Linked DNA regions of Drosophila melanogaster. The protein of the gene in region 4 purifies or fractionates together with the protein of the main gene of each other region. This does not show direct contact. Each region holds a gene or a part of one and is shown on either strand. Other genes may lie near its edges.

Region 1 (5,502 bases), 7.3 Mb from region 4:
CGCATCCCGTTGAACAGTGGAAAGTGGCAGTGTAGCGGCTCCTGAAACCGCACGTCCAGCTGGCCGCCACCTCGCTCCTCTGCGATGTCAATCAGCATGGCTGCTCCGTAGAGCAGACGGAAGATGCCCAGGGCAGCTCCATCTACGGGTCTGTTTAGCCAGCTGGTAAAGTTGGTCAGGCTAGTGAAGTTGCTCAGATCGTGACCGAGGCAATCTCGAAAGAATGCGTTTTGAGGAAGGAAGGACTTCTTGGCACTCTTGTGATTTACATCTGTGGGGAATTCTTCCGACGACCTAGGTGTATCTTTGTGCGGAGTAGCGTCCTCTGTGGCACTGGGTTTCGTGGGCAGCTTTCGCTTGGAGTTGGCCATTCTGCTGAATCTTGAATCTGTAAAGAATGCGAAAGAACACGTCCTTTGCAAGTATAGTAAACGTTATCCTTACAGATCTGCCCATAGATGACCCAAAGATCAATCCCCTCGAATGGTTGTTTGGTATTTAAGTTTTGTAGAATTTATTGAAAAAGTTGACATAAATACATGCATGCATATTGTTGTATACTAAATATATAATATATGTGTTTTACATTTCGTTTGCTGACTCTTGCGTAAATATCTACGGTTCTGTTCGGATCGCTGGCGTGGAGTCCACGGAAAATATTGCTGTCGGATCGGTGTAAAAAAATAGATCAATTACGAAATGTACATCCATTATACTCGGTCAGTGAGTTATTATTGCAACGGATTTGCCCAGCTTCGTTTCCTCTAGTTTCGTCTCTAGTCCTGTCCGTGTGGAACGTGTGTGGTAACTGTGATAACTGCCATCCGGGCCGGCGGACATCCCAACTGGGAGTGCCGGCCGTCGAAAACGCAAATGCATATATATATATACTTTCGATCTGAATCTGAATGGGTCTAGCTGCTGGCCAGTGTCCTGTGCAGTGGTTCGCAAAATGTCCAAACGTCTTTGGGAACAGGAACAAGCTTTGAAAATGCCTCAAACTACATACATATACGAATACAATATAAGCCGTCGTCTGCTTGAATATAGGTTTTGATATTGGTTACGGTTAAGTACTTAATGTGATAGGTAGTCGCACACGCGTCGTAGTAGAATCTCCGTAGGTCTGGTCGATCCGTAGGATCCCCACACCCCGGAAGTGAGTTGGAAAATGAAGATGAAGGGAGAACCTCGGTGCCTGGATTGACTGGGTTGAATGTTTGATTGGTAAATGGTTTAAATACGCGCCTGAATAACCGCTTTCGGTGTGTGTGTGTGTGTGTGTGTGTGTGTGAGTGTCTCTTTAAGTACGTTTAGTTGGTTTCCTTAGTTTTCTCGTTTTGTTTTCGGTTTACTTTAATTTAAGTACGACAGTAATGCATAAATGACTAATATTTTTTGCTTCACATCTATTTTACTTGTGAGTTTGCCATTAAAATACTTTTGGTTTTCTTTATCGATTTCATTTCGTTATTTACGCAACGCTAAAACATTTTAAAATGCATTTTCAAAGTTAATTCAATAAATATGCTCTTGGTTTTCCATTAGATAGGTTCTGTAAGCTTTTAAAGATCTAGACAATGTTTTCGAGTGTCGAAAATTAGCATACAATGGGGGCACATAGTTGCTCCTCCGTCTGCTGCTCCATCAATCAGCCCAAGTCGGCGCACTCGGGGGAATCCGCGGTGTGCTGCAGTCCGTATAGCAACCCTTGTTTGCCAGGCCGCGATGCAGTTCCTCCTCTTCCTCCTCCTCCTGCTGCTGCTGCTCGTAATCATTCATCCGCTCCCTGCGCAGGCGCACTCTCTCCCTTGGCTACCTGCTCTCCAGCTGCTCATCCTCCTCATCCTGCTCAGCCTGTCCTATGCTCCTGCTTCACCCTCGCCCGGTCACCGCTCTCCCGGCTGCCGGGCCCGTTCCTCTAGAGGCGATTCTGGTTGAGCTGGGAGCGCGGAGTGAAGGGACTGACCATCACGCCGCTGGGCCAGATGGCCTCGTTGAAGAGCTCGTTGAAGCGGTAGTCCGGAATGGAGATCTTGAACTTGCAGTACGACAACTGCGACAGGTTGGCATCGTTCTTCACCAGCTTGGTGCACTTGACCAGGTTCTTGTTGATCTTCAGCTCCTCGGCCAGGTGATCGATCACGTCCTCCTCGCTGGTGTTCGTGGCGAACTTGCCCACCTGCACCCAGCGCCCGTAGTCGCAGACCACTTGCAGTCGGTCGGAGTTACAATTGTTTCCTACCACAATGAGGTTGTTCTGCTGCGGATGCTTCTTCCCGTCCAGTCCGCCACCCAGGCCGCCGCCACCCACGCCGGCGGCCGAGGCGCCCAATGCCTGAAGCGGCTGGTTGCCAAACTGGAAGTACTGCTGGTACATACGGCCCTGGATCTGGTTGACCCCGTTGCACACCTTATTGACCTTTTCCTCGATGGTGTGCAGCTTGGCCGCGAAGGCTCGTGGCGACTGGTTTTTGCACTCGTCGCAGTGAAAGGATATCATCGAGTTCTTCTGGATCGCCTCGAAGACCGCGTCGTCGATGTTGACGCACGTGCGGTGGTACCTTCTCCGGCAGTCCTCGCCGCTGCACCCGATGCTCGTGGCCTCCTTGGCGGCGATCGATTTTTTGCACTTTGGGCAGTTATTGTTGTCGGCCATGGTGACTTTGGTTGGTTGATTGGTTAGTTGGCTGGCTGGTTAGTTGGTTGGTGACTATCGATTTCGATTCTGAATCCGAACCCGAGTCTGATTCAAGCAGGCGGAAAAAGAGAATTCGAACTTTCAGGAAAAAACACACGCACACTGTGGAGTCACACAGTGGGTATATACACTACGGCCACAGCAACAACGGCAACAGCAGCAGGCAGCAGCAATAACAACAAGCGAGAAATTCGAGCGAAAGTCGCCTCCTCTCCGCTCCACCCTCTCTCACTCTTCTTCCTGTGTCTGCGTCCGTGTGTGTGTGTGTGTGTGGCGAGTGCTGTGTGTGTGTGTGCGGGAAGAGTGCTGAAATCGGGAAAGAGAAAACACGCAGACGACCGAAACTTGACAACCGCACGCTCCGAAGTTTGCAGACTGACTGTGCGCGAGCCACCGATTGCGTTTCCGAATTCGAGACCAGGTCCGCCGATTCGGATTCGGAATAGAAGTCGGAATCGGATACACTCGGCACACCGTGCAATCCCAACACCACATGCAACCCCCGATAAAGCTGCCACGCCAGGGGTGGCTTTAACCACTATTCTCGCCATATGATTGACCAGCCGCCGACCCGACTGGCAACCAGTTTTGTTCTCGCCAGCACTCACCCCCAGTGCCACTCGATTGGGGCTCCTCTGCACGACAGTGTTGGAAATAGGGGTAAGTGCAGTGTGTGCAGTAGAAGGATTGAAACACCGTTACACCAGTGATTTTAAGGTTATATGTTTTTTTCACATTTTATACATTTGTATATTTAACTGGCCAGATTGATGAAACATAATATAATCTTGGATATGATATGTTAGCATAACATTTTTACTGTAGTTTGGCATCGCTTTTATGCTGTATAATTATAAATCGCATATTCTAAAGATTTGTATTGTATATGATAGATTGTCCTTGAATGTGGAACTAGAATTCCAAAATAATACTTTAAATACTACCATGCTTTCGGAAGTAGCAATAACTTTACTTATAGTACAAATCGTACGAAGAGCACTACTTACTTTGTGTTGTTATGGCCAATTAAAGCGGAAATGGGGTCAACTTTACATACAAGTCGTTATATCAAATCCCCGGCTTACAGTCACTTCTGCTCTGCTCACAATCGCTTTTCAAGGCAATTAATCAAATTCACACCCGTAATTTGCTGCAGTTGGGGCAGTAATTGGGGCCGTTATACTGCTCCCTGCAGCGCGCCACCCGCCGAGTGCAACTGGCAACAGTTGGCCGTTTCCCGGATGAACTCTCACCTGCGGACGCAGCGACTGGGAAAAGGGAATCGCGAGCAACACGGTCCGCCAACTGAGGCTGTGCGCACGAGCTGCGTGGTATTTATACGCCACTCTGCTCCACTCGGAGATGTGTCCCTTCTGCTTTTCCTTTCCCTAATCCTTGGTGTCGCAGAGGGGATGATGGCCAAGTGATGTGGGCGGAAGTGGGGGTGTTTGCGCATGTCCTTGCCGGGAAATGGCATCGAAGTTGATAACAATAAACAAGTGATTTTTCGTTGACTGCGAGTTGAGACCTCAGAGTTACCAGGAATGCAGGGACTTACAATTATGCATTTTTCAAATCGATTTTTAAATATGTTAGCACATATCAAGTATACATACGAGTGGAACTCGCAATTTAAATCTATAAAATTTGTAGAACACCAACTATTTGAATAGCAAGTTTCTAATAGAAACCAATATACCCCTGGGAAAAAGTTGGGAGGTGTTAGAATGGCAGGAAAATGCAAATAAAATTTGCAGGTGCTGCGGCAGCAGCTGTTATTGTTTGCCATCCGCCGCCAGGATTTGCCTGGCGGACACCTGCGGTAATTGGGTTTCATTAAGTGCTGGTTGCCGGGCGGCTTTGGTCCTGTTCCGTCGCAGGGGCCATCGATTCCTTTGTGGAGCCTTGTTAGCGCCGCTCCAATTTCGCGTCGCCTGCATTGTCAATAGATTTTAATCAGGTGTGGCAAGTGTGTGTGTGTGTGTGGTAAATAGGCGCCTGGTGCTCCCCCACTTGTCTGACATAAGCGTAGGCTCCCCACCGCAGACGGGTTTCTATTTCCATTACCCTGTTTGCACGCTGTCTGCGCCCCAATTGGTATTTATGTATGCAGACCAAGTGCGCAGTTTAGTGCGCTGGATAGTATGCTACACTTTTTGTGTGCTCCTATTTTTAGGCAGCGCATCCTTTGTCGCCCAATTTGGGAGTTAATCTGGTTCACGAGCTTGGAGAACATGTCAGCATTGGGAAATTTCCACATAATTAATATTTAAAACAATGAAGTTATTGTTTTCATTTAAATACCCACCTACTTCAATCAATATGCTTACCCAGCTTTAGAAAACACGTTGGTTTTGTTTTTATTTATTTATTTAAATAATTATGTATTTTCGGGGTGCAATTAATCATTAAATTAATTAGTAATATTATTGTTTATATACGGTTCATATATATATATACTCTCATTAGCCGTCTGTTGCTTTCGGGGATTCTTATAGAGTTTTTCTTTGTTTTGTGTGTCCGTCTTGGTAGACGGGAATTACTTCGGAATTACTCCGCCGCCCAAAAGGACTCCGGGAAATCGCAATGCGATGCCAGGAGCTCCAGTGGGCTCTCCGTACTCAGGGGCTTCATGGGTGTTGTTTCTGTGTATACAATTGTTTTCTTTTCGGGTCTGCTTAAAATCCAAACAAAAATCGAAACTCTTCTAAACATTTGTCATTGGTTATTACATACATATATTGATTTATATCTGTTAATGGTTATATGCATGTGAAGTGCCTGGGTGAGTTGAGATGGAC
Region 2 (5,516 bases), 8.3 Mb from region 4:
CTGCATATGACACCGCAATCACAACTTAACCCATTTTGGCACAAGTATAAATTTTGAATGAGGGGCTGGGAAGCTGGAAGCTGGGGAATCGGACTGATAATAAACTGTTGCCGGAAGGATGAAAGCGAGTCGAGGGCAGCAACTGCATTGCACTAAAGCACTAAGCCGAATGGCTTTAATTGAATTTTGATGTCCTTGGCAAATTGTTTTCTAATTAGTTTCGCAGACTTGGATCCCCAGCTGGGCCATCGTCCATTTCTGGCCGCTTTCGGCCAGTTCCGGACCCAGTTGACATAGAAAACTTTCTGTCAACAACTATAACTGCCTTGACACCGCTCCCCAGGACACGCTCCATTCGCTTCCGGCGCCCTGCGCTTCAATAATGACAAACTTAAAACTTAAACAATTAATGCCACGTCCATGACCTCAAACTAAATAAAAAAGTTCTCGTCCAACTCGACAATGCGAAGTTTGAATGCCCTTTTCTCGAAAAATCTAAGTTAGGGTCTTAGGAAAATATATTTTAATTATGATTTACAGAACTGAAATATAAATTTCGCACATCCTTTTAAGGATGGTGATTTTTAGTGCTTGTAGAGCGAAAGTAATATAAATAAATCGAAGTAAATCTTTTTCTTCTCAAGTTGATTAAAATATATTCTCTACTTTCTGAGATACCCTTTCGCTAGGGTATACATGTACATATAAGAGCAGCACACTTACCCGGGATCATTGGGCACCTCCGAGGGGGAACAGGGTCCCAGCTCCACTTGCTGTTGCTGCTGCTGCTGCTCAATCTTGATGTCCATGTTGGGGGTTTTGGCTCGGGATTGAGATTGAGTTGGAGCTGGAGCTGGTGATTGGAGTTTGCAGTTGGGGCTGAGCTGAGCTGATGTGGTCGTCTGGCTGTCTATTCTATAATTGTTGCTCCAACGCCTTCTGTGCGAGCATCGAGATGCGAGGGGAGGTCGAGTGGTTCTGTGCGGCTGAGTGGCTGTGTTACTGGGTGTTATGTGTGGACGGGGGATGCTGCTACTACGAGTTGGCTAACAGAGTGTTCCCTTAATCATTGGCCACGATGGCTGCTAGTTGGCTGTTCGATTGGCTGCCGGATTCCTTGTTTTCCATTTGGCCTGGCTTTGGTTGGCTTTCCCGCTGATTTTCCACGGCTTTTCTCCTGCTCTAGTTATCGTTTTATTTAGCTTGTTAATTATAATTTGGTTACATTGCACACATTGAATCACATTTCTTGGTTGTTTTGGTTGTTTTGGTTGCTTCGTTTTGCAGGCCACTTTTGGTTTGGTTTAAATATTATTGTGTATTTCGTAACTATTATTTCGTTTGTTGTTTAGACTTTAAGTTTTAGAAACGTTGCGTTAACTTTGGTTGTTGGTTTCCCAATTGATTTGAAGGCAACATATTACTGCAAAAGATCTGTTTCGTTGTGTTTGGTGAAAATTAATTAAATTGCAATTTTAAACTTTGCCCAGGGAAACTTTTGAAAATGCAATTTTCCCCTTCACTCGCTCCCCCTCGCCACTCCTCGCTTTCCCACCCATCCGCAGCTGCTGCACCACCCCCACCCACCCCCTAAAATGCAATGATTCGCAACGAACAATCGTAAAATGCAAAAAAGTGCAACCGATGTGGGAGCGATAGAGAGAGAGAGGGAGGAAAACCGTGGAAAAGCCAGGTGAGGAACGGGTGGGAAAAGGGGGGCGGTTAAGTAACGGCTGAGTGACAATTGGGATGCGGTACTAAGACTGTAAAAGATCTTTGTTTGAAATAAATTTGACTCACTTTACACATATGGCATGAGCCATCAAATTAATTTTCTTAGAATAGGCGTCTCATAAAAAATTAAGAAAACTAAATATAAAAGGTTAAAGATCCAAATGTTTTTCAAAAATTATAAGTATACGTGTTTACTTATTGTGAGCTTGTGTAATAATTATAAAATTCCAAATATTTAGTAAAAAGCTCTCTACTAATTTCATAAATTCCCATCGTTGTTAAATAATCTGAACGATTTTTAACATTAAAAAGGTTTTAAGTGACACTTTTTTTTACGCCAGAAACACCTTGGTTTCCCGAACAATTTTTCGGAAATTCAAAAATGCTGGCATCCAAATTTTATAGCTTTGAACTTTTGCTTGTTAAAGCAATTATTTTCCGTTGCTTTCTCTCCGAAATTATTCGCTTTCCTATATTTTGTGTGTGTTCTTTTTTGCATTTTCTGTGCTTAATACGCGCCTTGATTTTTCCCACACCCACAACAGCAGTAAAAGCAACAACAAATAATAGAAAAAGACAGAGATAGATAGATAGGGAGGTGCGAAAGGGCAAGAAGAACATTGCATGCAGTGACTCCCTCAACAAAAATTACAACAACGCCAGCAACAATATAATAACGCGCAGCATGCAAGCTTTCACGAACAGACACGCACACACACAATCGTACATCAGCACACACACACCCGCACAGGGAACATGCACCGTTACAACGAGAGCAGAAGTTAACTGGCGGCAGCAACAAACACGTGACCCGACAATTGCAATTGCGACAATTGGCAGCACAAAATAAAACAAAATAAACGATAAACTAAAACAGAGCTAAGAGAATCGCCGACAGGGGGCGCTCGATTGATCAGTAATCGAAGTTACCGTTACCGATGTCAGCCATTTTATAAAAGTGATCACAACGAAGATCTCTAATAAAAGGAACGAAAATATTAATCAAATTTAAATTTTATGTAATACACGTGTTTGTTGATTGATTTTACACTAATTGATAAGAGATATTTTGCTTCCTATCTTAAAGCAGAATAAATGCAAATGGCAAAACAAATTTAAATATAATTTTCTTGACAAAATAAATAAACATTAGCATTAAATTCTCCTCCTTGTTCTGTTCATCCTAATGGTCACCATTTGTCATAAATACATAATTTTAATTTTCTAAGAAATCAAACAAGAAGCCTAAAGGAAAGTCTCAGGAAAAATAAAATCCAATAAATCAAACATGAAATCGCTAGGGATTCTCTGCCGCTCTCTTTCTATCGATCAAGTATGGATGTTGCCGTTATTTTGCCGGCCGGCAGCCATTTTGCAGGAAAGATCAACACAAACGCAATGTGTTAGTGAGTGTGAGTGAGAGGGAGGGCGGGGGTGCGAGGGAGAGGTTTGCGCTTTAACTCCTCTACTTCAGCGGTTATTGTAGTTGATTGCAATTAAAATCGAATGCCGCGCACTGTTACTCGTTTTCCCTATTTTTTGTATTTTGTATTTTATATTATATAATCGTCAAATTGCACTCCACACAGCCATCGAGGTAAACAAAATGCAAAATGCCCTCCACAGCAGGGGTTTTCCTTTCGGGCCTCTCGGTTATATTGGTTTGGTATCTTGTACGCGATTTGGTAGTTGTTTTGGTTAAAACGCACGCACTCCCACGAGCGGTACGAACAGCTCTGAAATCGGGCGACTCGAGAGTAATATAGAAACTGCAACGGTTAGTGCAACGCTGGCGTTCCGCTTTTCTCAGTGCGCGCACACGAACGCGACAACCAACAAGACGACACTGAGCGGCGAGACCCCAAAACCCAACTGACGGCCCCAAAACGACCGGCGGCAGCGACGTCGACTGCACTGCTGCACTCTCTGCCTTCGCTGCTGTTGCTGCTGTTGTTGTTGCCGCTGGTGCTGCCCCTACGGAGCTTTGCACCGGCAGAGGCGCCGACTGCGGCAGTTGCACTATTTACCGGCTGCACATGGCGCATGTACTTCAGCATCACAGCTGATAAGTGATAAGCCGCAGCGAGGAAGAGTAGCCGGCGAAAGTTTGCGGAGAAAGCTTACCGAAGAGAGCGGCACTCTCTTAAACCGCGTGCAGCTTTAAAAGCTCACACTGAAAAAAATTTTAACCTGGCACTATCAGTCAACTTAAGAATAAAGCTGGCTATCCCAAAGTTAAGAACAAATTTTGCATTCCAATGTTATCATAACATTTTATTGTATGAAATATACATAATGAAGCAATACATTGTATGTATTTTGCAACTTTTGCTGTTTTCGAAAACGGGTTTAAACCGTAAGGCAGTAACAACACTGATTCGATTATTTTTCGCCTTGATAACATCGTTTAATTTCGCTTTTCCACACTGACAGGTCATTTCCATTCTTTATTGCCATTTTGAAACTACGCATACGGGGAATTTAGTACAGGCTAGCACTTAATTGCTCAACACGGGAACAAGTTATCCATGTGGGTATCTTAAAATTATGCAAAAACAATAATGAACGCGTCGTGGAGAACTGTAACTCCAGAAGGTCTAGGAACTCCTTGAGCCCTGCCTTCTCGATCTGCCACATGTCGGGGTTTTCTCCGGTCCGCGTTTAGGGATTACAACAAAAACAAACAGATGTCGGCACCCTCGAACTACCACACCAAAACTCCCCATCCACATGAGCGAAGATCGTTGCCTAACTGCTCTGGGCAGTTACGGGCTTGGTGGGCGGCGATGATGGCGTGCTGCCAGCGTCCAGAGGCTCCGTTCGTTCCTTTTCCTTGTTCCAGCTCTTGAGGCCTTCGGGCAGAGTGGTGTCCTCCTCGAAGGAGCCGGTACCCTCGACGAACTCCTCGTAGGTTGACTTCTCTTTGAAGGGTCGTGGGCCCAGCAGCTCAATCATATCATCACGGCTGAGCACTTCGTTTTGGAGCAGTCTTTCCGCCACTTTTTGAACATTCTCCTTGTGCTTGGTCAGCAGACTAGTGGTGGCCTCGTGGGCACATTTGATAATCGACCTCACCTCGTTGTCGATCAGCTGCGCTGTGTCCTCCGAGTATGGTTTGCTGAAAACGGGATCACCGGCCTGGCCCACATCGAAGCTGACCTGCCCGACCTTCTCGTTCATGCCGAAACGCACCACCTGGGAGTAGGCAATATCGGTGATCTTCTTTAGATCATCCTGAGCACCAGTGGTAATGCGATTAAAGAACAGCTCTTCGGCCACACGTCCGCCGAGCGTCATGCACATGCGATCGAACAACTGCTCCTTGGACAGCAAGTAGTGATCCTTGGGCAGATACTGGGCGTAGCCCAGACCCTTGCCGCGTGGTATAATCGAGACCTTCAGCAGGGGATCTGCGTGCTCCAGGAACCAACCGGCCACCGCATGGCCAGCCTCGTGGTGTGCCACCGTTCGCTTTTCCTCCGGCGCCAGAACATTGGTCTTCTTCTCCATGCCAGCGATAACACGCTCAATGGCCTGCTCGAAGTGCTTGAGTACGATCGAATCCTTGGAGTCGCGGGCGGCAATCAAAGCAGCTTCGTTGCAAACATTCGCGATGTCAGCGCCTGTGAAGCCTGGTGTCAGTGCAGCCATTTTTCTGCTCAGCTCGTTCTTGTCCAGCGACGTTTTCAGGTTACCCAGATGCACCTTAAAGATGCTCGCCCTGCCCTTAATATCAGGTGCTGGTACATAAATCTGTCGATCGAAACGACCTGGTCGCATGA
Region 3 (7,542 bases), on a different chromosome or scaffold from region 4:
GGAGGTAGCTCACTACAGGTGGCACTTGGGGAACTCCTCACTCTAAACGGATTATTCGTATCTCCCCAACCAGACTACCAATAAAGGCCACATTACCACGAATGAATGCTAAACGTTCTCTCATTTGCACGGGTTAATGGTTACAGATTTAGTCTTGCCCGTGATTGGAAATTTATTACCAACTCCCAACTACCAACTAGTTTCGGCCCTATAAATGCAGCCCAGCCAGAACTTTTGCAGAAATATGCCGAAGTCGTTGCTTCTAAGATGCGGTTCCATTTAAATATAGCAAACAGTGGTTTGCTTGGGCTTCACTTGTGCCCAACAAGAAGTGCTTTACCTGAACAAAATCCTTGTTTCTCTAAGGCTGGAGCTGTCATTTGAAACCTTACTCTTCCTTGGAGGCGCTGGAGGGAACGATGTCTGCTGGGAGCACTTCGACCTTGAACGCTACCCACACCTGAACTTCAATGCTAATCAAAGTATCTACCTTAAAGGAAGAGTCAGCAGGAAAATGCTAGCTCTGGTTTGCCTGGATTCTGCTGAGGAGACAAACTGAACTACACCGTGGATCCCGCGCCATCGCCCTACCACGATCGCCCTATCACGACCTGTACTACGTTTGGATTGCCTACTTGGGAGGCACCATGATCGGCATAGGGATGCTAGCTGTGGAGATCGCTTGCTTCAAGTGGGATCTATTGAGACGACCACCCATTTAAATGTACTAAGGATAAATCAAATCAAGTTTATAATTAAGAACTCGACGGGTCGCAATTTCAAACACTTTTTGCAAAAGCATTTTTTTATTCAAGTTTCACATGTCTCTGCTCACTGCATCTTGATTTTCATCGTTAAATGTTTTCCGTTTCTTGTTCTTTTTCATTTTTCATTTTTCATTATTCATTTTCGATTGTTTTTAGGTTTGTTAATAAGTAGGTATTCGTAATATGTTATAATTAGGATTTCGCTTCAATGGAATTACATATATAATGCATATATTATACGCCATCCGTGTCGCTATTATCTGTGCTCCTTGTGGGTTCGCTAGTCATTAAAATCGGACTTCGAGGGGCACAAACGCCCCAGTCCAAGCAAAGGTTCAAATAAACTAGGATCTTGTGAGTAGATTCGAATGCAGGTGTCGTGTGTGGTGTGGCATGGTGGTGTCTCATTAGCAAACGTGCACAATTGATTAAACTTGGTGTGGAGTGTGGGATTCAAAATGGGACTCGAAATGGGACTATCAATTAATTTTGTGAGACTGAACAAACATTTCTTGTACTCTAAAAATTTAGCACTATAAAAGGGTTATCCTTGGGTGTTTCTTTCCTTAGTTTCTCGTTTATTTTGTTTTTAGGTAAATTCTGCAAAAGCAATTACCAAAGATGAAGTTCGATTACAATTATAATTCGTAATAATAATAATAAGAAGTATGTTGCATTTGCTTGGCAAAGGAAAATAAATTTCATTTCTTTCTCTTTTGTTTTGTACATTCGTGTAAATATTATTCAATTGCGTAATTTCTCCTGCTTGTCTTGTAAATTCATATTGCATATGTTCTGTGTGAGTTACACTGTGGAGGCCTAATCCTACTTTGTCCTGGAAACTAGAGTCGTAACATCGCCAGCTCCCCGGGGAGCGGGCAACCTAAGCTCAAAATGAAGTGTAATGGAAATAAATATGGTCAAATGAGGGTTCGTTAATTATGCCATCCTAAATATTGCCATCGTTATAACTATTTTATGTCGTTTAATTTTCCTCTTTTGTGTGTGGTACTGTTTAACTATACATTGTGTATATGTCTAGACGCAAAACTTGAATCTTACAAATTTCGAGTGAGTTTAGCGTTGTAGGGTATCTTAATAATTTCCTCTTACTTTTCACTTTGCTCTCGTTTTCTGTTCTCGGAAACACTTTAAAAATTAAGCTCAATAATCTTAAATTATGCATGTATTTGCTTTCATTTCAAACTTGTACACACGCCTGCCTACATACAGCGTGCTTTGAATTATTTCGATTTTGCGATTTCTTTCGTGCCTTGTATCCATAATAATATTCTAAAAGATTTAAACATTGCACTGTGTACACTTCTTCTTGGATTGGTTACATTCAATTAGTTTTTCACTTTCATCTTGTTCACGTTACATTACGGTCGTTACTGTCTTGCTGTCCTGTTTTGTGGTTTCACTTTAGTTTCTGCTACTTGAAACAATGTACAATTAATTACAAAAATGTCTTGTAATCGCTAAAATTTTAATACTCATGTACTGTCCGCAGGATAGGCGCTGGGCCCCTGCTAATTCCATATCGGATCTCTCCTCTCCAGCTCTGACCTATTCCTCGTCCGCATCGGCGTCTACTCTATAAATTACGTGTAGGGTTCGCTTTCGCAATGGTTGCACTTGATTTCCTCGTCAAAAGTTTAGTTATAGCGTAGGGAGTTGTGAGTATTATAAACGCTTTCTAACTACAGCGTGTGGAGTTACATTAGATATATGTATATGTTATGTATATACGTGGAGTGGGTGCTTCACTTGTTAATAGGGGTTACATCAATTGTATTTTTTCCGTTTTTCCATTTTGTTTTTTGTTCTTTTTTTGTTTGTTTTCGTTTTGCTTTGTTTCTTGGTTTAGTTTGGTTTTAATACATATATATTAGGTAAGTGTAAATATTCATATGTTGCCCAGGACTGAGCTGGGCGTAGCTCTAGTTGCGATCGCACGATCTAGACTTAATGCCAAGGGGCCAGTGTGAAAGTTGGCCTTGTGTGGGTAAATACATTTCGAAATACGTGTGTGTACGCAATGTGTTCTTTAGGCGAGAAGCTGACAGCAAAGCCCCTGCTCACTAAATTCAACAGTAAAGACAAACATCTAATTCCAAAAAAACGCTAGTGAGTGCTAAGAAATTGTTGTCCTAATGCCTAGAAAATCCTTTCGGTTGAGAGCTCGTTTTCTGCCTCTCCCTCCCTTTGTTTCTGCCCTGTGTTCTTTCTATAAATTTCAACTGTGTTGCAAGACTTTTGCCTACATCTAAGTGTATATGCGAAGGAGCTGCCTCCCGTCCGTCTGCTGCCTGAATGTCCGCCTAGCTGCTCGATACAATTTCTCGTAAATATCTATATAGGTTTATATATGGGTGTGTATTGTATGTGTGTGGGTTCCAAGTCAACTCCTAGCGATGTCCTTGGATCAGCTGCCGCCGCCGAAGCCTTAGTAGTAGAATATCTGGCCGGCCTTCTGCCGCTTGCGCTCCTCCAGCTTGCGATTGATCTCCTGCTGCCGCTCGGCCTTGCTGAGGGCTCTTGCCACGTACAAGAACTTGTTGTCGCCCAGCTGCTTGCCGTGCAGGCCAATTACGGCGGCCAGCGCCGACTGTGGGTTCTCGTAGGCGACGAAACCGAAACGCCGGGAGCGCCCCTCCTCGTCCAGCATGAGCTGCAAGGATCGGAGAAAGCAAATCGATGATATAAACAAATTAGCACAGATGGGCCAGGTGGAGTCCTCATCTTCCCCGCCGTCACAAACTCCTCGTGGCTACATGGGCATGCGCAGCAATGGCGCAAGAGAGGACTTAAGAGAGTGCAAAACTGTGCCACATGGTTGTCGTCCAACCACCCGGCCCCACGAACATCCCCGTAGGGAAGATGAGGTGACCAAACAACGTACCTTGTGACTGGTGATGCGGCCGTAGGGCTCGAACATCTCGCGCAAATGCTGCTCGGTGAACTCCTCGCTGAGGTTCTTCACATACAGATTCTTGAAGTGCGTGGCCTTCTCCTGCTCCCGGTCCCGCCGTGGTATGAACTTGACCACATGCACCTTCTGATTATTGCACAGCATCCCATTCACCTTCTCGATGGCCGCTCGGGCGGCCTCCTCCGAATCGAAATGCACAAACCCATAGCCGCGTGAATTGCCATCCTCGTCTTTGGCCACATTGCAGTTTAGGATGTTTCCGAACACCGAGAACGTGTCGTACACCGCCTTGTTGTCGATGGACCGCTCCAGGTTCTTGATATAGATCTTGCCACTGTCCGGAGAGCTGTTGCCTCCGCTGCCCCCAGTGGAGCCGCTAGCCAGAGCTCCCCCGCCGACTCCCACGCCCACATTGGCCGAGTGCGAGGACGTGGACGTGTGCCCGCTGCCCAGGGAGTTGTGGCCATGCCGTCCGAGAACAGCGGCGGCCGCCAGGTGGTTACTGGCTGCGTGCCCACCGCCGACGTGGCTCAGGTGACCAGCTGCAGCGGCGTGGTGGTGCAGCTGCTGCTGGTGGTGCGCCGCTGCCAGCGTGTGGTGGTTCAGGGCCGGCTGCTGCTGGTGGTAGTTCGCCGGATTGCCGCGGAACGTCATGGAGTTGACGAACATAATGGCTGCTGGCTGTTTGTGGAGCGTGGTGGCGGCTAGTGGAGTGCTGTAGGTGCTGTAGGTGGATTCTGCGTCCTGGTGGCCGTGGCTCTGGATCTGGATACCGCTGTAGATGGGCCCGAGAATCTTGACGGCGTTCTTGTCCTGGTCCTAGTATTTCACTTCACTTCCCGATTTACCTGGGATGTCGGGAATCTGCGTTATGGCCAATCTAGTCGTAATCCAGCGGAATGCCCACTTACCAGGATTTGCACACGGAATATGACCAAGGATTCGCGGAGTTGAAAAAATCGTTTTTCTCTCGCACAGACTCTTTTCAACGCTCTTCGCTCTCTCTTTCTTTACCTCTCTGGCTCTTCCTTTCGCTCTTTTGTACTTTACTTTTTCTGGGGGCTTTCACTTTTGGGCTGATTCTTTGGGGCTCTGCTGGGCTTTCGCGTAACACTTTCCGGTATTGTTTTCGAGTGGCACCTAAACTAGACTCTTCAGCAATTGCAGCAGTGTAAAACCTGGTTTTTGCAGCTTCGGCGATGGCCCTTTATTATTTAATTGTATTTTATGCAAAAACTGTCGCTACTAGTGATTAGTGATGTTAAAAAACATCGATGCATCTGCCATCGATACGTGAGGCCTTCATGTTCTTGGCCATACCATCGATGACTTTCTCGCTCCCGATTGCTTAGCAAGTCCACCCTCCACAGTTAGCGGATAATGGCCATCAAAGCAACGCTTACCAACACTGCACCCCTTGTTTTGGAAATGCAACCACAAAAGCATTGGACACTTGCTTACTTCAAATAAAACACATTTAAACAATTAGATGACGTGATGGACCAGAATGGCGCATCGGGAAGTCATCCGAACAGGCTATCCCAAGGAAGAGGAGCCCATGCGCGCGAACGTGGCGCCACAGTTTCCGCGGCGGCAAATCGGAGTAACATTATCGACGAAATGGCCAAAATATGCGAAGCCGATCGCCAGACTTTCGCCATCGCTCGACGGACTCGGGGTCACGAGCGGCTTGCGGTGGACAACAGCGACTTCGTCGCCGTGGAGGATCTTATTTTGTCCTACGCAGAGCCCACGCCCGAGGACCAGGTCGAGATGATCATGAGCGACTTTTGCTCGTCTCCAACATACGCAGAGGATGAGGATGAGCCCAGCCATGAGTCGGAGCCGTGGTTTCGATTTCGCAACAAAAGGATCAGAACCTACAGCCGGAAGAGGGATCCCAAAAGCCACAAGGCCGTTCAAAACGAGAAGCGTAGAGGTTCCTCAGGCCTCTCCGTGCAGAGGGATCTCAATACTTCGTTCACATCTATGGCTTGTGATTTCGATGCTTCATCACAGAAGATACACGAGGTCCTTTTGAACCTCAGTCAATACTTTTCCGCGACCGCGACAGCTTCCGGTCCGACTCCTGTCCCATCGCAAATAGATCTGCCAACCGAAGCAAGGCAGGATTCTGGTGACGAGTGTTTCAACGCTGAATTGGAGAACTTGAGGGATGACCTGTTGCAGAGCGGATTTACATTTGAGGCCTCTTTCTATGAAAATGAGCATGAGCAGGAAGGTAGGGAGTGGGATCGATATGGCAAGAAACACATTTGTAACTCCTTTTATATGTACGTAGGTCCAGGAACTATGGCAGACACTATTTATGGCGATAGCATGCAATCGGTTCCCACTACGCGCCTCCGATTGGGTAATTCATATGCAATTTATGTTGTTGCGAAGTTCATTAATATAAACCCTTATTTATAGAAAGTGGAAAACGTAATGTTTGGTCTGATGCAGACTCTACATTGAAAAAAGCTGATGTCGAAATTGCTGAAAATAAGAAACTTTTGATGGGCCAAACGCAAGCAAAAAATGTTGACATAGAGGAGAACACAAACTTCATATTAGAAGGCATACCACTAAGTGAATGGCTAACTCCGATGGAACTGCCCGAGATCTCCAAAGATGTAATCAAACATATACCCGATAAAAAGTTAAAGTTGGAGCCAAGTTCCCAGAAAGAACAAAAAAGTAGCAAAGATTCAAATGCATCAAAGGTTAGAGGAGCCTCAAAACAATCTTGTGATATTAACACGAAAAACGAAGGAACTACTATTCTGGATCAGCCTAATGCTGCAGAGCAAGAAAACCTATTGAACGACGGCGAGCTTCTTGAGGAGTTTCTTTTTAATGATTGGCAACCAATGCAGTGCTCTAATGGCCCATCAACCTCCAAAAACGCAATTCAAGGGCCTAAAGAAAACATCAATTCAATAAATCTGGACGACAAGGAGCAACCAGAAAAGCAGACTCCTAATAAAAGTCAGACCATAAGCAGTCATCAACTTAATGGCATTCGAAAGAAGTCCTTCAAATTTATCGAGGTTTCGGAAGAAATGAAAATTAAAGGCGAAGAGTTTGTAGACAAAGTTGTATCCGGCCTATATCACTTTAGTCACAAGTGCAACTTACGTACTGAGGAATACTCCGATAATCATAGTCAAGTAATGGAATCAACACAGTGTGCGGAATTCAAATCAGCCCCAAGCAAGCCCATCGAAATATTGGATGGTAAGGAAACCTACAATGCAATAGCTAAAGTTGACGTTGGAGAAATAAATGGAAAATTCAGTCCTCTCAATAACGATACTATAGCAGAGCCCGAGTTTTGTGGCTTTCGCACAGCCTCAAATAAGGCAATTCCGATTTCTGAGAAGATGAAAATCAAAACTGCAGAGTTTATGGCTGAGTTTCAATCCAAAGAAACAATTCAACAAAATGATTATTTAGTCCATCAGCCAAATGACAAACCGACGTCTGTTGGACTTGATACAGCCTTAAAAAGATCAATAGAGAGTTCAGAGGAAATGCGATCGAAAGCTTCCAAGTTGGTGGTCGTTGATACTACAATGCGGGAACCGCATCAACCCACACTTGACCCAGTTTGCCGTGACTTAAATGAATCACAGTTTTTCGGCTTTAGAACAGCGTCAAACAAAGCCATTGAGATTACCGAGGCGATGGAGAAGAGAGGAGCCATGTTTCTGGCCCAGTCTAAAGCTACAGACCAATTAAACGGGTGGCAGCCAAGCGATTTTCCTGATGTTCTACCCACCTCTCCAAACAATGAGATTCATTCAATAAATGTTGAAAATAATAAGGCTGTGAATA
Region 4 (5,552 bases):
AGGCGATATGTTGATCATATTTTGGCCTGAACACTTGCTGTTTTCGAAATGTCAACGTCATGCGTGTGTTGTTAGGGGGAAACGAGCCCCTCCACCTCCTCCACACGCCCACTTTTCGCCGCACAACACCCCCCCCCCCCCCCTTTCTCATTTGCCATCGCAGCACTAGAGCCGCACGTAATTGCGTTTAAAAATAAATAAATCGTACGGGGAAAAGGCGAAAAAAAAAGCAGCAGTGGCAGCAACAACAAAGCGACCAAAGCAGCAGCAATAGCTATTTGACATTAATTTTTATTTTGCTATTTTTAAAACCCTTAATACATTTTTACCAGTGACCGTTTGGACGATCTTCGCCAGCTCATCAGAAAATCATTTCAAAGAAAATTTATTTTCGCAGAGCATTTTACCATTTAACGATGAAAGGAAAATTTATAAGAAAATATAAGTTACAAATTGGGTGAATAGTTTCACTCCAATATGCTGACAAAACATTGTATATTAAAATACTAATATATTCAACTAAATAAGCATATGCTTAAAAAACTGGGATAAATGTATATATCCCATTGAACTTTAAATTCTAAATTGGCTATTAGAAACTGACGGTTTGCACAGAGCGCATTGGTAATTGCGTTTCGATGTGACTGAGCTATTTTTATGGCCAACAAGAAATTCCCTATCTATTCACGTTCTTTAATCGGGCTAACAACGAAAAGCCAAAGATAAAATGGGTCACAAAATGTGCAATGCGTGTTGTGGGAAAAAAGTGAAAGAAAAAAACAATGGAACCGAACAGCAATCAATCATATTATTGATAAAAGCAAACTTGGCAAGCGACGGGCCAAAAATAACAAATAAACAAGTGCTATTCTAAACTTTTGCCTTTCGTATTTTGTGCATGAGTAATAAAAGTGTGTAGATATGGCCTGATAATGGGGTATAGCGAGTTCTAAATTGGTAGCGCTAGTCAAGTGAAAACCCGCCTGGTGGGGGGATTACAATTGATCGCTTTTCCAATTACAAAAGCCACCCCCGGAGGCAAACGATTTTCAGAGCCCGCTGTTCCCGATGTCGGTCAAATATGCTACCCGTTTTGCATATAATACGCGCAGCATATAGAAACACTGAGGGAAATAGGTGCCACACATTGCTATGTTTAGTTTCTCAAAATATGCAATTTAAATCAAAATTAAACTATTATAATGTGGTCAAAGTATTATTATAAATAATTCAATAAAATATTTTAATCATAAATAAAGTATTGTTCCAAAATACTCGAAAAAAAACTGTTTTTGAACAAAATATTGCCTACTTAAAGGAGCATTTACATATGATATGTATTGTTTTCTTCTTAAGCTTCTTACATTTTAAGTCCAAAAATAAGATATGCAAAGTATCTGAAAATTTCGTTGAGTGCACTAAACTATCCAATTTCTAAAGCTTTTCGTCTGTCCCTGGACACGCACTTCATTTTGGGCTGAGCGACCGGAAAACGTCTATTGTTCTGAAAAAGGGGGGAGATGGGCAGACAGAGGCTCTTAATTAGTTAAATGCGGAGAGACAACGAAATCGCTGTGCCAATGAAATGGCTCAGTCGGGCATGAAAAACAGACCGCAGGTGCCCCACACTTTTCCAGTTTTTGAAACTGGGCTGGGGATGTAGACAAAAGGAAAATAAAACTGGCATAATCAATACACAATTTTGCCCTACAAACGAGACGAGAGCGACCCCCAAAAAATAGCCGAAGAAGGAACGACGACGACGTACAGCAATAACAACAACAAAGACAGTAACGCCCCCATGGAGCGCACACACACACACACACCACGAAGCACTCACATACACACAGGCGTATCACACGCACACTTCAAAAGTAAACAAGTGTAATGTGCCGCCAAAAGCACAGACTGCTTGGCTCAGCTTCAAAAAGAGCGGCGGCTTAGGATTGGGGCATTATTTTAGGGGTACTTTCCCAAGTTTCACAGCTTCTTCTACAAAATATACTTGGCAGTAGTTAAGGAGTTATTTTCTAGATCAGTTTTTCTTTTTTTTTACATCTTTGGTTTTCTGTATTTTTTAGTTGGTATTGAATTTAACATTTCTTTATTGTATCGTTTTCAAAATTTATTTAGTTTTTCCATTTAGGGTGTGCAGCAGCGAATAGTAAATCTTAACTCGTATTTGTTGATAATGCTTTAAAGTGATACGAAGAAACCCATTAAAAAACTACCCCTGAATGTGGCCAAGTGTTAATTTATAAAACCAGTTATTCTACCTGCCACCCCAAAAAATTCGAAATTTTGTTTACCAACTCGAGAGCTCAGAAACCGAGAAAAGTGGAAGAGCCGCTCATCTTCAACTGAAATGCAATTGTATCTTTGTATCTCTATCTGTAGCTATGAGTGTGCAAACAAATTTGGTTGAAAGGCTCTTGGCAAATGAAGTTTGTTTTTGTTTGTCATGCTGCTGCTGCTGTTTTTTATTCTCCCCTTTTTGGTTTTGGTCCCACACCCACCCCTCTGGAAATATTATGCTTTGTGTGCACTTCTATTATCACGTCTGCAATTAGAGCCAAAGTAACTGGGCCAAGTTGCAGCTTTCAGCCAGCTTTTCTCGTGCTTGCTTCACGGGGTTGGAGATTTTTTAGGGGTTTATTGCGGCGTTTGCTTTGCTCCACCGATTCGTTGCCGTATTTGCCAGTTGCCCCAGTTCCAATTGGTTACGTACACACTCTCTCACACACACACACTCGCACGCACACTCACTTAATATACACACGCGCTGACGGTAGATAATGCCAGCCCTGGATAAAAACTGGGGCAAATAAGTCCGAATTTTAAATAGGATTTTTGACAGGTGCACTGAATAGCGGATAACTAACCTTTTGCTGCGTTATTCAATTTATTTTTTTTTGTGTTATGTCGAATGCCGAGAGCGCACGAAGATGGAAAACACGACGAAAACTTTCAGGTGCAAGTTTTTCCTGCGCCAGTGTGCGTGTTACATTTCCGGGGGTGCACACTCACACAAACGCACAGCCTGTGACGTAGGAAAATTCCTTTGCACTCGATTCTCTCTTTCCGTACAACGGTAACTATTTTTAACACAGCACTAATAAGCGATTTACACTGGTAATTTTTGGTTATAAAACGATTTTAACTATTTACACTTTTGACTAATTTACGCTATTTAGTTGCATTTAATTTTCAAATTTAAGAAGAGCGCCCTGACGCGTTGTTTTCTTTCCTGATTTTCCCGAGCTGCGGTCCCTTCCGCTCGTCAGCAACGACTGTGATGCCAAAAGTTTTCACTGCTGCCCGCTTTTCCACGAAGCTGCCACTCGCCCGAAGACGCACGACGAAAAATCAATCATTCTCGCTTGTTTTGCTTTCGTGCGATGCACTGTAGGCTTAATGGTACCTTTTTGTGGCCAAAATTAATAACTTTAAATCGGAGAGATATTTTGTTTATGTTATTTGCATTGGGTGACACTAGCCCATATCTTTTATAGTACCAAAAATTCTGGTCGTGGCACCGCCCCTTATATTAAATTAACTCGTTTTTTTATTGAGATTTCTCTATTTTCAGTTTAAATCTCAAGTTAAACATAAGTTTTTGTTTCAGCTAATATACCTAAAAGCGCTATTTACAACACTCAATTACAGAATGGAGTTTTGGCCACAAAAAGGTACCATTCAGCCTATAGTGCGTTGTTTGGAACCCCTTCTGCCATAACAAACCATCCAACGAGCCAATCGATTTATCGATAACTTTACATGTCACTCGTAATTAGCAAGGAAAATAAATAATGGCCCCAATGTTGTAATAATTAAGCTAAGCACAGCAATTATGTGTAATTCAGCCCTATAGAAAATTATATAAAGCGCTATGTTGTCTGGCAACGCCACAGCTGTTTTCATAGCGCAGAAACAACAACAAAGACTGGTCAAAAAGAGCACACACACAAGTGAATTACATAAATCTGCATTACTTACAATAACAAAACAGCTCCAACGATCCAAATGGATATTTGTTTATATCCGCGTTCTTTTGGCAGCAGCACAAACGCACACAACCACGCACATTCAACGACACACGCGCTGCGAATTTGTTATTGTCTTATTGTGTTCTCCTCTTTCTGTTGCGTTTCGCGTTTGGCCAAATCTTTCAAATAATTGCACAAAAACACTGACGAACAACATGCGAAACCACAAAATATACGTGTACGCTGTGTCCTTCTCGCTAATTAAATATTTTACAAAAATATGTTCATGTTTTTGTTTTTTCCCGTGTGTGATATTTTCTACAAATTTTTCTATCGAGAGAACGAAAGCTAATAAGACAAGGAAACGGACGAGACTCAGAATTTCATCGAAATTCGTCGCCTGCTACACGGCGAAGCTTATTATTTCAGAATAGAAGTATTGTTTAAATATTTACCTAATGGCAACAATGGAAACTATTAACAAAAAAATTTAATCTTTCACTGATATGCCCTTATGCCCTTATTACTACAGCGATATACCGCAAGCAAAGTTATCGATATACCACAATACCACAAACAGCTGACACGTTAGAGTTGGGCAACTTCGCTGTTTATTAAGCGGGCTTTTTAAAATCTCTAAAATCATCTTTAATAGAAGGTTGTACATTTTGTCCGTATGTTCTTCTTTATTCTTACTCATACTTCTAAAAGCTTACTCTCAATGGCTGTGATTGGGTAAATCCCAAATTCTTCTTGTGGGAGTGTTGTCGCTCTTCTCTAAACATTGGCAAAAAAATCTCAAATAAATATTACACTTAGAAAATACTACCATTAAAGATATTTATATATAAAAACACCAAAATTATTGTATTTTACTTTTTATTTTCTTGATTAAATCGCCCATTGTTATTTTTAGCTACGATGGCACATACTTGCTTCAACATAGGCTTTAGACTTTAGAATCTGCGATAGCACTTTACGGTGTGTACTTTTTTGCAGTGCACCTTTAACAAACAAGCCTCGACCGGTTCTTGATAAGATTCTCAGATTTTCAAGTCCGAGTTGTCTGACCGCTCATCGCAGTTTTAATTGGTATTCCCACAATGGCGGATGCATTGCGCTTTGTGGCCTGGAGCTGCTGCCTCCAACTGCTGTTCCTGCTCCTTGGCGTTCAGGGGTATGAAGTACCCAAGGCTAAGATCGATGTTTTCTATCCCAAGGGATTCGAGGTCTCAATTCCCGATGAGGAGGGCATCACCCTGTTCGCCTTCCATGGCAAACTAAATGAGGAGATGGAGGGCCTGGAGGCTGGCACCTGGGCACGGGACATTGTCAAAGCGAAAAACGGACGCTGGACCTTCCGGGACCGGATTACGGCTCTAAAGCCTGGCGACACCCTGTACTACTGGACATACGTTATCTACAACGGACTGGGTTATCGCGAAGACGACGGGTCGTTTGTGGTCAATGGGTACAGTGGTAATAATGCCTCACCACATCCACCTGTGGTTCCAGTCTCCACAACGCCCTGGACTCCACCTGCCGATCCGGATATCGACATAAGGT

What was found.
Region 1: the proteins of orb2 (region 4) and CG13928 purify together in Drosophila melanogaster (affinity purification with western blotting; 3 studies listed by BioGRID, with this or other methods). This does not show direct contact.
Region 2: the proteins of orb2 (region 4) and Rbp6 purify together in Drosophila melanogaster (affinity purification with western blotting; 2 studies listed by BioGRID, with this or other methods). This does not show direct contact.
Region 3: the proteins of orb2 (region 4) and CG4612 purify together in Drosophila melanogaster (affinity purification with western blotting; 2 studies listed by BioGRID, with this or other methods). This does not show direct contact.

The regions. Positions count from the first base shown.
Region 1 is NT_037436.4:1,625,291-1,630,792, forward strand, and holds CG13928 (uncharacterized protein), read right to left. Parts: upstream 3,088-5,502; 5' UTR 2,660-3,087; coding exon 1,922-2,659; 3' UTR 501-1,921; downstream 1-500. Other genes in the region: GC (gamma-glutamyl carboxylase), read right to left, coding at 1-371.
Region 2 is NT_037436.4:17,234,629-17,240,144, forward strand, and holds the start of Rbp6 (RNA-binding protein 6), read right to left. Parts: upstream 3,585-5,516; 5' UTR 3,204-3,584; intron 1,435-3,203; 5' UTR 810-1,434; coding exon 724-809; intron 1-723. Other genes in the region: Afg3l2 (AFG3 like matrix AAA peptidase subunit 2), read right to left, coding at 4,483-5,516. UniProt on the Drosophila melanogaster protein: RNA binding protein that regulates the expression of target mRNAs at the translation level. May play a role in the proliferation and maintenance of stem cells in the central nervous system.
Region 3 is NT_033778.4:24,521,102-24,528,643, forward strand, and holds CG4612 (uncharacterized protein), read right to left. Parts: upstream 4,989-7,542; 5' UTR 4,614-4,988; intron 4,551-4,613; 5' UTR 4,372-4,550; coding exon 3,673-4,371; intron 3,442-3,672; coding exon 3,217-3,441; 3' UTR 773-3,216; downstream 1-772. Other genes in the region: Ir60d (ionotropic receptor 60d), read left to right, coding at 1-46; Brca2 (BRCA2, DNA repair associated), read left to right, coding at 5,200-5,944, 6,005-6,076, 6,136-7,542.
Region 4 is NT_037436.4:8,949,937-8,955,488, forward strand, and holds the start of orb2 (orb2), read right to left. Parts: upstream 3,299-5,552; 5' UTR 2,883-3,298; intron 1-2,882. Other genes in the region: GNBP3 (Gram-negative bacteria binding protein 3), read left to right, coding at 5,090-5,552. UniProt on the Drosophila melanogaster protein: RNA-binding protein involved in translational regulation and required for long-term memory. Required in mushroom body gamma neurons for long-term memory in male courtship. Binds to mRNA 3'-UTRs.